2 linked regions of the Drosophila melanogaster genome follow. The protein of the gene in region 1 interacts with the protein of each later gene in a pairwise test. Each region holds a gene or a part of one and is shown on either strand. Other genes may lie near its edges.

The links. The genes of interacting proteins can lie anywhere in the genome.
Region 2: the proteins of Nep3 (region 1) and Nup133 interact in a two-hybrid assay, tested with the Drosophila melanogaster proteins (one large-scale study listed by BioGRID).

Annotation. Positions count from the first base shown.
Region 1 is NC_004354.4:19,959,468-19,964,322, reverse strand, and holds the start of Nep3 (neprilysin 3), read right to left. Parts: upstream 3,027-4,855; 5' UTR 2,723-3,026; intron 2,635-2,722; exon of another isoform or gene 2,478-2,634; intron 1,148-2,477; exon of another isoform or gene 982-1,147; intron 369-981; coding exon 252-368; intron 1-251. UniProt on the Drosophila melanogaster protein: Metalloendoprotease which is required in the dorsal paired medial neurons for the proper formation of long-term (LTM) and middle-term memories (MTM).
Region 2 is NT_033777.3:22,688,687-22,695,272, reverse strand, and holds Nup133 (nucleoporin 133kD), read right to left. Parts: upstream 4,667-6,586; 5' UTR 4,574-4,666; coding exon 4,398-4,573; intron 4,343-4,397; coding exon 4,168-4,342; intron 4,108-4,167; coding exon 3,604-4,107; intron 3,553-3,603; coding exon 3,240-3,552; intron 3,185-3,239; coding exon 2,346-3,184; intron 2,276-2,345; coding exon 1,597-2,275; intron 1,527-1,596; coding exon 985-1,526; intron 922-984; coding exon 547-921; 3' UTR 501-546; downstream 1-500. Other genes in the region: cd (cardinal), read right to left, coding at 80-246; wfs1 (wolfram syndrome 1), read left to right, coding at 4,977-5,040, 5,100-5,198, 5,256-6,586. UniProt on the Drosophila melanogaster protein: Probable component of the nuclear pore complex (NPC). Plays a role in NPC assembly and/or maintenance.

The DNA of each region.
Region 1 (4,855 bases):
TAGGGTATTCATGTCAGTTCGCAGAGGGAAAAGCTCACACCAACGCGCTCCCACTCATAAGAGCAGACTTTTCACTGTCAACTGGCAACCTTCGAGCAAATGAGAAAAGCGCTCACTTTGGCCCCATTTGCCACTCGTTTCTGGGTCATTGCCACAAAGATAAAGCTGAAGCCCAACGACAACTAAGTGGCTATCCGACTGAATTGCATTGCACGGATGCACGGTGTTACCCCGACAGGTTTCTTACATACCCGGGCGGTGTGGTAGCGTATCTGCATGCCCGTATGGCCGGTCGCTTCGTTCAATTGAATGCCGCCGATGGAACTCGAGTCGTCCTCCGTGAATTCGGTCTGCTTGTAGCGCGTCATCTGGAATGAGAATCGAATTGTTGCAAACCCATCAAATTGCCTACCAACGTGTATCTAATAATCTAAATATGTTGCTGCTATCTGTTATCACATGTTTTGGTCTAGGGCATCTGATAAGTAGACCGAAGCTTTTCCGCTCGGATTGTATAGATACCGTGCGTTCTTTAGCGCTCACTCAACGCCTTGTGCTTTACATTTCTCTCACATCCCCCACTGCTGCCCATTTTCATATGGTGCTCTATGTACTCAAAAGTGTTAACCCTTCAGCAGTCAGCAGAGCATTCCAAGTTTACGATATGCCTTGGGTTTTCAGAAAATGTGCATTCATCATAGGAACAATTTGCAAATTACCCAAACTATATGGAAATATAGAAATAGAAAAAGGTAATGCACAACAACTTAAGAGAAATATATGTATAATTTTGTACTAAGAGTTCCTCGTAATCTTTGGACTATTTTTACTCGCTATCTAGATATCCATTCGAAAGAAATCGCGAAGTCTGAAACATGAACATGAACAAAACCCATTCTCAACCACTTGTCAGCATTCCATGTCTAACTAAGGTGCCCAACTAAAAGTGAATGGGATACAGGAGCTGAAGCACGGACATACCGAACGGCAGTCGGAAAGCCACATTTTGGTTAATCTTTGTGTATGGGGAGAGCACGGTATGCGGTAGTGTGTTTATTTTTCGGAACTTCGACGGGAGGAGCTATACGAAAACAGAGCGCGGCAACGATACTATCTGTGCTTAGCCCATGACCGCTCGCAAGGCACTGGCGGTCGAGCCCGGAGAGCTTCGGAACTCAGGGACTGCGAGTTCCGAGTTCTGCGACCAACCAATTCAACAATGCCCGCCGAAAGCAGAAAACATCTACGGGCCAACGGCGCGTTATATTGGATAGTTTTGCATTGTACTCAAATTAATTGACTGGCGGCTGTGTGCGTGTTTACTGCGGCAATATGTGCCAAGATGTAGCCGAAATGGATATACTGGGCGCATTAAAATGAAAAGGAGCGGCATATGTATTCAATTAACACAATGCAAATATACACCAAAAGATTCGGCCTTGCTTATGTGCACTTCTATATATCTTCTATATCAACCCACCCATTTTCGGTATGCCGAATAATATTCTAATGTCGATTTGGGATCGGGGATCGGAAAGGCGCCATATGATATGATTTCGCACTCGATCTTGTTTGCCAACAAATTGGTATCTTTAAGCTTTCGATATAGATTTACGAACGTAATCTGGTGTCGGACAACAAGCGATATAAATAACATATGATGGATGGGGGCGATATGATATTGCAGGTATACAATAGGTATATAATACACGTGAAAATGGATGGGCCACATAGAACCACATTTAAAAACACATTAAGCAAGAGGTATCCCTCAGTTTGGACTGCTTCTCGCCACGATTTTCCATCGCAATGTAAACACAGGCTGCACACCAACTGACATTTAGCAGACTGTTGAATGTAAACACGCATTAAATGGCGTTACGCCTAACGAGCCCTCCTTTTGCCACCAATCAAATCGGCTAATGTATTGAAAAACAAGGAGGTAGAAAACCATTGAAAGGTTCGACTTAATGGGCAAATCAACGGAATTGACGTCTTAATACTTTTATGGGAAATATATTAAGTTCATAACATGATTGAATATGATGCAACTTTAGGTCCCATTGAAAATGATTAACTAAGTTATTATATACCTTAGTCTTATGCTCGAAATAAGGATATTTCACTCAACCATTTACTACGACTATTCTACCAAAGCGTCCATCCAAGGGAGTTTTAATGAACCGAACGGAGCCCATGTGAAAGTCAATGATGGCTACTTCGGATTCTCCGAGTTCATAAACGGCTCTTCATGCCATTTTTTTTGCAGGGCAACAGATGATAACTGCAGGGATTCACCGAATCACCACCACAATGGGATTTCACTTGAGCTGCACTGAGTTGAAATCTGGTAGAATGAGTGCTCTCGACTCGTCATTATCTGTCGTTATGCCACCTCCTTTCTCGATTTGGCTGCGAGTATCCTGGCTATTTGGTATACCATATGGTAGCTACTTCATTTGTGCAGCTTTCCTTACAATTTCTCTATACCAAGGACCATAAAATCGGAGCAGCTTAGATGTGTGAGTGGTGAGAGGGTGGTGTGCCTGGGATGCATTTATTCAAATGCAAATGAAATTATGACTTTGAATCGGACTGTTTGGAAGTGGTGTGGTGTGGTGGGGTGGTACTTCTGATTGCACATACAGCACACTCACACACTGACACACTCACACACACACACACACACGTTCAGCAAAAGAGAGGCGCGCTCTTGGCCTACCTTTGCGCTCATTTTCTTTGTGCGCTAGAAAGAAGGCAATGCAACTTTTCCAGCTCCCTGCGCTCGCTTTTTCTCGACCCTTTGCCGTTTATTGGTGCACTTTCGATTAAGTTTGGCCGACCCTCGATGGGTATAACATTCGATCGTTCAGTGATTCATTTAAAACGCGCTTATCTGCATTCCGCTCGCGGTCAAACAAACCGCTCTGAGCCACAAAAAGGCAACGGTATCCACCAACACTGCCAACTCGAGCCACTGACAGCCAGCTCCAGCACCAGCAGCAGCGGTAATCGCACTCGAACTAGCCTTTTCTCTCCAAATTTCACTCGGCGCTGGGAGTCGGGTGGTTGGACTCCCTCGAAAATGGAAAAACCATAACACAAACGTATTAGATGAGCAAAACACACACAAACAGAGAGAGAAATGCGTGGCAGGAGGGAGCGAGTTGAACCCATTGCCGGAGAACGTGGTCCACTGCGCAGGATCTGTTTGAACGGTGGCAACGCTTCGCGCAACGAGTTGCCAGACAATCACAGTGCCCTTCAACAAGCTATCGGTTTAACCCACGTAATCGAGTATCCAAAGCTAACGATTCTCGTAATTCTCAATTAATCAGCTAAATTTGAATACCAGTTACTCGTAGAGTAGAAGGTTATACTAGATTCGTTAAAAAAGCATTGTAACAGGCAGAATGAAGCGTTTCGAACTATATAAAGTATATATATTCTTGATCAAGATCAATAGCCAAGTCGATCTAGCCATGTCCGTCTGTCCGTATCTGTCCGTATCCGTAGATCTCAGGTACTATAAAAGCTAGAAGATTGAGATTCAGCATACAGCTTCTAGAAACAATGAATCCTGTGCGAGCAATGGCTATGAATAATGAACGTCAATGAACATGTCAGTCGAATGACAAAGTCACTATTCAATTTCACTATCTTCGGCAAAGCAGTAAAAATACAAGCATAAGGTATTGAATAGTCCATTAGCATAACCCTATCGGCCGACCTAAATTGCTTTACGTCACAACTGAGAAAGCAAACAATTCGCACATGCCCACCAATTGTATTGTGAGGCTTTTCGTTTTCTACATACATGTATGTACATATGTATATGTATGTTTGTATGTATTTTCCGTCGAACGGTAGCCACAACGTACCTGCATTGTTTGCCCGCCTCCGAACGCCACTCACCTGAAAAGTGCGAAACGGACGGACAACAATACACACATATATAAATATATATATATATATATATATTTGTTTATTTATATGCATATACAACATGCATATGTTAATATTTAGAAAAATATGTATGCAAAATATACTTGGTCATAAAAGATCAACGAAGGTTCGAATACAATTCGGGCGATCATCAAAGCACTGTGACTCGGCATTCCCCATTCGCCAGAAGATCTATGTACATATATGTATGTATGTATGTATCTCGACTTCTGGGGCAAACCAACATGGGAGCACACCTTAACCCAAAATGACCCCGGCCCGTGTCGTGCATATCATTAATGACCCAACCAATTATCGTGTTCTATACAGCAAAAAAAAAAAAAAAAATAACATCTCGACACTCGAACATGAAAGCACTTGAAGTTGCGTGTTCTCGTTTGGGAAAATAAAGTACGACCGCGGTTTTATGTTCTTTGATCGAAAAGAAAATAATCTCATCTGCATGTGGAACAAATAAACGATGAATGGATATGAACAATAAGAAGAATTAATACCACTAGTATAGCTAAATTTTATTTTGAGGATTCCTTAATAAAGCAGACGCAAATTAATTGAGAAAAGTGCGTCGACTAAAAGATACCCATTACCTGCAGCTAACCGAAACTATTTTGTTAATCTCAAGTCACAAGTCATATCTAATTACAGAGTGAGATAAATACAGGTTGTAAACTTGTAACAGAGAAAATTTTTGTGCAATTCGACTATATGATACCTAGTGGTAATATTTTACCCAAAAAGATTTAAGATGTTTAATCTGTTGTTTCGATTTTCGATTTCAGTGCTAAATAAAGTGCCTATTTTGATCATACCCCACCGAAACTACAGCTCCATTCAAATTGAGTAAATAAACACCAAATAATATGACTCAGGGCAGCAGAAAATCGCTATT
Region 2 (6,586 bases), on another chromosome or scaffold:
ACAATTTAGAGCCTATAGCAATAGTTTCTAAGGATAGGTGTTCTTTTGCCGCAGTTCCAACTCTTCGTTTCACACTCACATAAAGGTGATGCCCATGCAGCACTGGAACTGTCGCATCTTGTTGCGTCGCGCACGCGGAGAAACACCACCCGGAAAGACACGCTCCGGTCCCTGATACGGCGGCAGGACAACATATCCGGAGCCACTGGGAACGGCATCGGTAAGCGGCGTTGTTTCGTCCGTCATAATCAAAGTTAAACTGATGCGCACCGGCGACAAATGCAAACAGCACAGCTGCCAGTCAGGCCGACTCTAGAGTTGCCCCGAACACACTTGGTGGGCTTCCGACTCTCCGTTCGCCACACTTCAGATACTTTCGCCGGCAGAGACCGGCTGTGACAAAGCAACTTAGTTTATAATATTTTATAATGCCTGCGTTTGAGCGACGCAACAACAAGGCAGGCAACTGTCCACCGTCCAAGAACACCAGCCATCATTTTAAATTCTTAACGTAAACTTTAATAGAAAGACATGTGAGGTGCTTGATTAGAGTTCCATGTCGTCTGGCTGTTTGAACATGTCGGCCACATACTCATAGGTCAGTTTCAACAGATACTGAAACGGTTTCTGCTGCGGCAAATCGCCGAGCTCCACGCTCTCCAGAAAGTCTTCCATGGGTGGCAAAACGTTCTCGGAATCGTTGCCCATCAGCTGCGAGATTTCGATGATCTTGTAAAAGAGCAACTTCTGCATGTAATGCACCGCATTGTTGGGATCGTAGTCCGTCCAGTTATCGCGTTTTATAGCTGCACACCAGATCTTGTGCCGCATGTCGTACGGCTGTTCCACGTAGCTCAGAAGTTCCAAAGCTTTACGGAATTCCGTTTCGCTGGCAGTTTCATTTTCCTCGGCGATGTAAAGCTAATGATAATAAGACGGTAATATTTATAAGTGAATTAAGTATATTAATTTGTGAAATCTTACGCTGATAATCTCCTCTGCCTTGAGCACCTTCTGTTCTGCTGGATCGAAGCCAAAGCTTTCCAGTACGTCATGGCCCAGTTGCGATTGATATTCGACCAGCGTAAGATCTGCGTTGATCTTTTCAACTTGGGCAGTTAAATCGGATTCGGCTGCCGCGAAGGCGGCCAATTTGGCCAGCGACAGCATAGACTTCTTGCGCGCCACAAACTCCGTTTCGCATTGGGCCAACTCGTACAGCACCTTGGCCGCCCGCTCGAAGTCGCCGTTGAATATTAGCTGGATCCACCCAAGGGACGGATGGTCACGCATGAACTGAGCCAAAGCCGTCTGGTTGCCCTTGAAGCGTTCGAATACCTCGCCGTGCCGGTTCTGGCGCAGATGCCAATTGATGGCAAACTGTGAGAAGTCATATTCCTCGTACTTGCGGGTGTAATCTTCCAGTCGCTCCTTGTCCTGCGTCTCATCGCAGATAAGCACCAGGCTCTGAAAATCGAGGTACTTCTCGGCGATCTTTGCGGCGTACTCGTATTGGCGATCTTTGACTACAAAATAAAAAAAAAGACATAAGAAATATTTAAGAATTTTAAATTATGAATAGAATACACAACTTACTTAGCACGGAGATGAGTTCCCTTCGCTGAGCCTCAAACTGCTGCTGCAGAACATTGAACTTTTCCGTGTCGCGCACGCTTTTTAAGTAAGTCTTCCGTCCGTCCAAAACCAAATCAATTAGTTCGAATATCTGTTGGTACAATTGCTGCTTTAGCTCAGTCTCGCTAACGCAGTGGCTGCCATAGCGAACGCTAATGTCAATGAGGCGAGTCAGCGTGTCACGAACTCCCGCACTGCCAGCCATCGCAGTCCAAGGTAGATTCTCGTAGGAAGGTAGTTTTTCGTGGCTCAGTCTAAAGCTGCTTGCGTGCTGCTTTCGATACTTGAACACTTGTCCCAAAACGTCTAGGACAATGGAGTTTATCTCGTTGACAAAGTGGGCCACTGATATGGTGGTCTGATTCTGAGCAGCGATTCGATCGTCAGCAATATCCGCCAGGGCCTCGAACACGTTTTGAAACCTAGACAGCTTTACGTAAAATATATCCTGGTAAGTTAGGCTGCCCTGAGGCTCCTCATGCCATAACGCTACGGTGGCATCGATAGCCTCTTCAATCAGCTTGGGCAGTTTGGTCTGAATGGATCGCAGAGCCATAGCAGCCACTATCTTCTCGCTGATATCGGCTAGAATACAGCCGGTGGGTTTCAGCGAATGGCTTCCGCAAGGTATGACATTTAACTGGAACGAAAAGTATTGATTTTGTTAACAAAATCAAATAAATAAACAAATAAATATTTTGTCCTTATACCTTGTCCCAAACTAAACTGGAATGCAGAAACGTTATGAAGTGCTGGAAAGCAATGATCTTGTCCCTTAGTTGGTTGATAATCTGCATTGAACGAGAGCTGCCGATGGCATGCCTATTCATTTCCTGATCTGCAAGTGCCTCCTCCCATCGGGGATCGGCTATTGGTATATCCTCCGCCAAGTCTTCGGCGATGGTAATAACAATTCGATCCAACTTGTAAGCATCCATGGGTGCACCACTTGGATCGGCTGCAGTGACATTACGAAGCAGCTCATCGACGATCGTCTTGACCATATTGCTGTTGCGTTTCATGTGATATAGGAACGCTGCCTTTAGTTGACCAACTTCATCGCTTAGTTCGTTGTACATTTCATCCGGATCCAGTTCGAAAAGGTGAAGATTATTAGTACTGTTAGTCAAAGCAGAATGATCGGCAACTGCGAAACTAGCATTACACGAATTGGGAGCATATAAATCTGGCGTGTTGCAGGAGCTCATGTTCATCATTTCAGTACCATCAAAATCGCCCGGTGTAATAGAAACTAGGCCATGTGTGCGACTAAAGAACAATGGCAATTGGCTGCAGATGACGGCACTCAAAATGCGATCATCGTGCTGATGGAACTCGATCTTTTCCGCCTCTAGCTCTGCTGTCGGCACCGAGTTGGTCAAGTGCAGAGGATACACAACTTTAGAAGTATACAAATAGATGTGGCTGCTGCCTACTACAAAACGCACGCTGAGGCAATCCTCCTCAGTCTTGGCACTAAAGAATTTGTTCATATTGAGCGGCGTGAACGATTCCAGAAGCATTCTTTCAGCTTGAGCAGTGCCAGTCACTAAAATACTTAACATTATATACCATATCAAGATTTGCTGTCACATACTTCTTACCCAGAGCGTAGCACATTTGTGGAGCGTGAGCAGCATTCACAGCTCCAGCCAGTATATAAGCTTTGTTCTTAACCACGTGAAAGTCCAACAGATGGAGATCGATCTCCAAACTATCCGCTGGGAGTCGGAACTTCCAAAAGTTCGTTATAAACTCTTCGCGTATCCTGCGCAACATATCCGCATCCTCGTACAGAAGGTTTTCGGTGTTGCCATTGTTGGACAGACTCCAGCGCTGGATTGCACGATCAGAGAGCACGGCCACAATGGTTTCTCCACTTTCTAAATTGCTCTCGCAGCACATGCCGACCAAAGTCTAAAAAACACTTCATGAGATTTTTGTCCCATGCTGGACGAAGATACTTACTTGATCCTTGTCTGCACCCGTGTTCATTCCAATCAAAATGGAGGCAAACTTTTTGCCAAAACCACCAAGGAAGCTAGTGGCAGGCTTGATAGTCTTATGGTGAAGTGTGTAACGTCCGTTGGTCAGTCCGACTCGCAGGAATACCAGATTGCAGGTGGTTGTAACGGCTAGGTAGCCCTGCTGCGTTGGTAGACTGAGCAGCTGGACAAACTCTTGGCCAGTTAAGATGGAAAGATCCACGGAGTTCCCATCGTGCGCAATCGATGACCAGTACCGAACTTCTCCCGTGGCTGATACCGCTATGCAGGAGGCCATTTGCTGACCCTCCGTCTGGAAAACACTGATTAAATCACTCTTGTGACCCAGGTCACTGTAAGGTAAAGTCAATTCACGGCACTGGGCCAGACCACCACCACGTCTTGCCAGTTTGCCCACACGAGGTGGCGAGCCCGACTTGGCCGTGTCCTTATACTGCCAAATCAAGAGGCGTCTGCCTTGGACAACCTGAAAAGGTAATCGTACTGATTGCTGAACCAGATACAATGAGAGTTGCTGATATATTACCCAAGCCCAACCGTTTTGCGTCACTTTGGCTGTTACTGTGCCCGCTCCTGGACCTGCGAAGGTTAGTGCCTCATTGACCACCACCGGCAGTGGACAACCGAAGCTCTCTACCGAATTGTAATCGGATCGGATGCCGGCAATGGACTGAGTGGAACGCACCGACAAGCTGAGCCGGCTGAAAAGGATTGTTTGATGAGTGGGAAATTCCAGGAGAATAAGTTAGCACATACCTGTTGGTCAGGGCAGTCCTTTTGAGGCTCCCCGACATCTGGGCGCAACTGGCGCTGCCGCCAAAAATTGATTTACGCGTGCTGTCTGCCGAGGCTGCTGGCATGCTGTACCTTCGTGCACCTGGTGAAGATTCGCGCGATATGCCGTATAATTGCTTCTGCAGATTTCTCTCCATTTTTGTGCTGGCTCTTATTTGGGAAATGCCTATAAATCAAAAATAAACAACTACTTTTGCAACAGCAAACAATCTAGCCGGCATGTGTGTGAATCGATTTTTGATGTCGCAATATCGAAATCACAGCTGAGTACATTTGAGTTATTTATCGATTAGAAGTCACGACATTATACACAAAGAACACAAATTTAAATATAGGAAATTATTTATACTACATAAATGTATTTTATATACTATATACGATGAATAATTAAACTTTGGTAAACAAATTTTTAAATTAATAATTATATTAACTAATATTTGTGAGTCCATCTCTAAGACAAGTTCTACACGATGCCATCGCTAAGTCAAGACTAGAATTATTTCATAGATTTTCGTAAACAAAGCGAAAAACTCGACATAGATGGCCACCTGGACGCAAAATGAGCCGACAGGTGTCACCAAGCGCAGGCGTTGGAATCTGGAAGGTAAATCTCTGAGCTTTGATTGATACACGTTCATAAAGTGAAGATGTTTTCCCTTACAGATCGTGCCTCCTTGAACAAACTTAAGCATCACATCGCCGAGGAGGGATGCCCCCAGATGCAATACGATCTGGCCAAAGAGTTACTCGATAATTCCATAGGTGAGTGTAAGGATTTGCTCGAGAATTACAAGATAATGAAGATTGCTATGTCCGCAGTAGAGCCCAATCTTGCCAAAGGCAATCAGAGCCAGAAGGCCGTCAACTGGCTGGTGAGTGCAGCACACAATGGACACGAGGATGCAGTCAAGCTGCTACGCCAGTGCTACAACGATGGCAGCGGTATTACGGCAGAGAATACGGACGAAGTGCGTCGCTGCCTGGCTATGACGCCTGGTGAGCGGGCTGCCAGAAAAGCAGCCCGGGAGCTTTTTGCCTGCCTATCAAATGGAAACGAGCATATAACGCCCAAGCAGCTGGAGCGCAAAATGCGGCGCATCTACAATCTGCAACGCAAGCGGCGTCGACGCGATGATGACCGCTCCTCGTCGAGCAGCGAGGGCGAGCAGGAGCCGGAGTGCGAACCGCTCGAAGATGTGCCCACCATTGACCTAGCCAATGTGGAGCGACGCCGCCTCATCACCGAAGCTCACCTCGTTTCGGCAGCTTCCAATTACAGTGCCGGACAAATGCCCAGCGTTAATGATGCTCTCACATTATCCGTCCCGGATCCTAGGAGCTTGGACCATGTACCCTGCTTCTACCGCATGATCTTCCACCCGCTTATCTTCTTCACCCTGTTCTACCACCGGCTGCTTAACTTGATTGTGTCCATACCCAACGTCATCCCTCTGAGCGTGCGCTGCAGCGTGCTCGTTGCAATCTCTTGGTGGAGCAGCCGGCATATGCTGCCCCTGGTCAGCTATTATCTCAGTCTGGGCATCATGATCTGGGCCACGTGTAAGATGCTGAAAACCAAACAACAGTTCGTGGACTTTCGCATCTGGTCGGGACTGTTCCTGAGCTACGGGGATCAGAACATCGAGGCGGACATTGCGGAGCATCGCTTTTTACGCAACAATATGAAGCCGTACCTGTACTTCTTTTGTGCCTTCATTTGCAACCTGATTGTCTACCCGTTGGTCACAGACGCCTGGCTGCCACACTCGGAGCTGACTATAATCTCTGGAGCCTTGACCTTCATCACCATGTGCGTGTCCATGTACGCCTCCTCCCACCAACTGCCTGACTGGCTAGTGATTGTTTCCTTTGCCGTAAATGTTCTTGCCAAATATCCGTACGAAATGGACGAGGTTGTGTCTACGCGCTGGCGCTTTCTTGACCTACGCGTACCTACTTTCTCATCGTTTGTCATTGGCAATGGCATTGAATTCTGTTTGAATTGCCGCACTGCCTTGTATCTCTTTATTCCGGTGCTGCTAATTATGATGGCCAAACGCTCCCGTTGGCATGGAGTCTACACATTCCTCATCCCGCACTGCGTCACGCTCAGTTGGCTGCAAGTGTGCATAGCCACCTCGCAGAGTTCC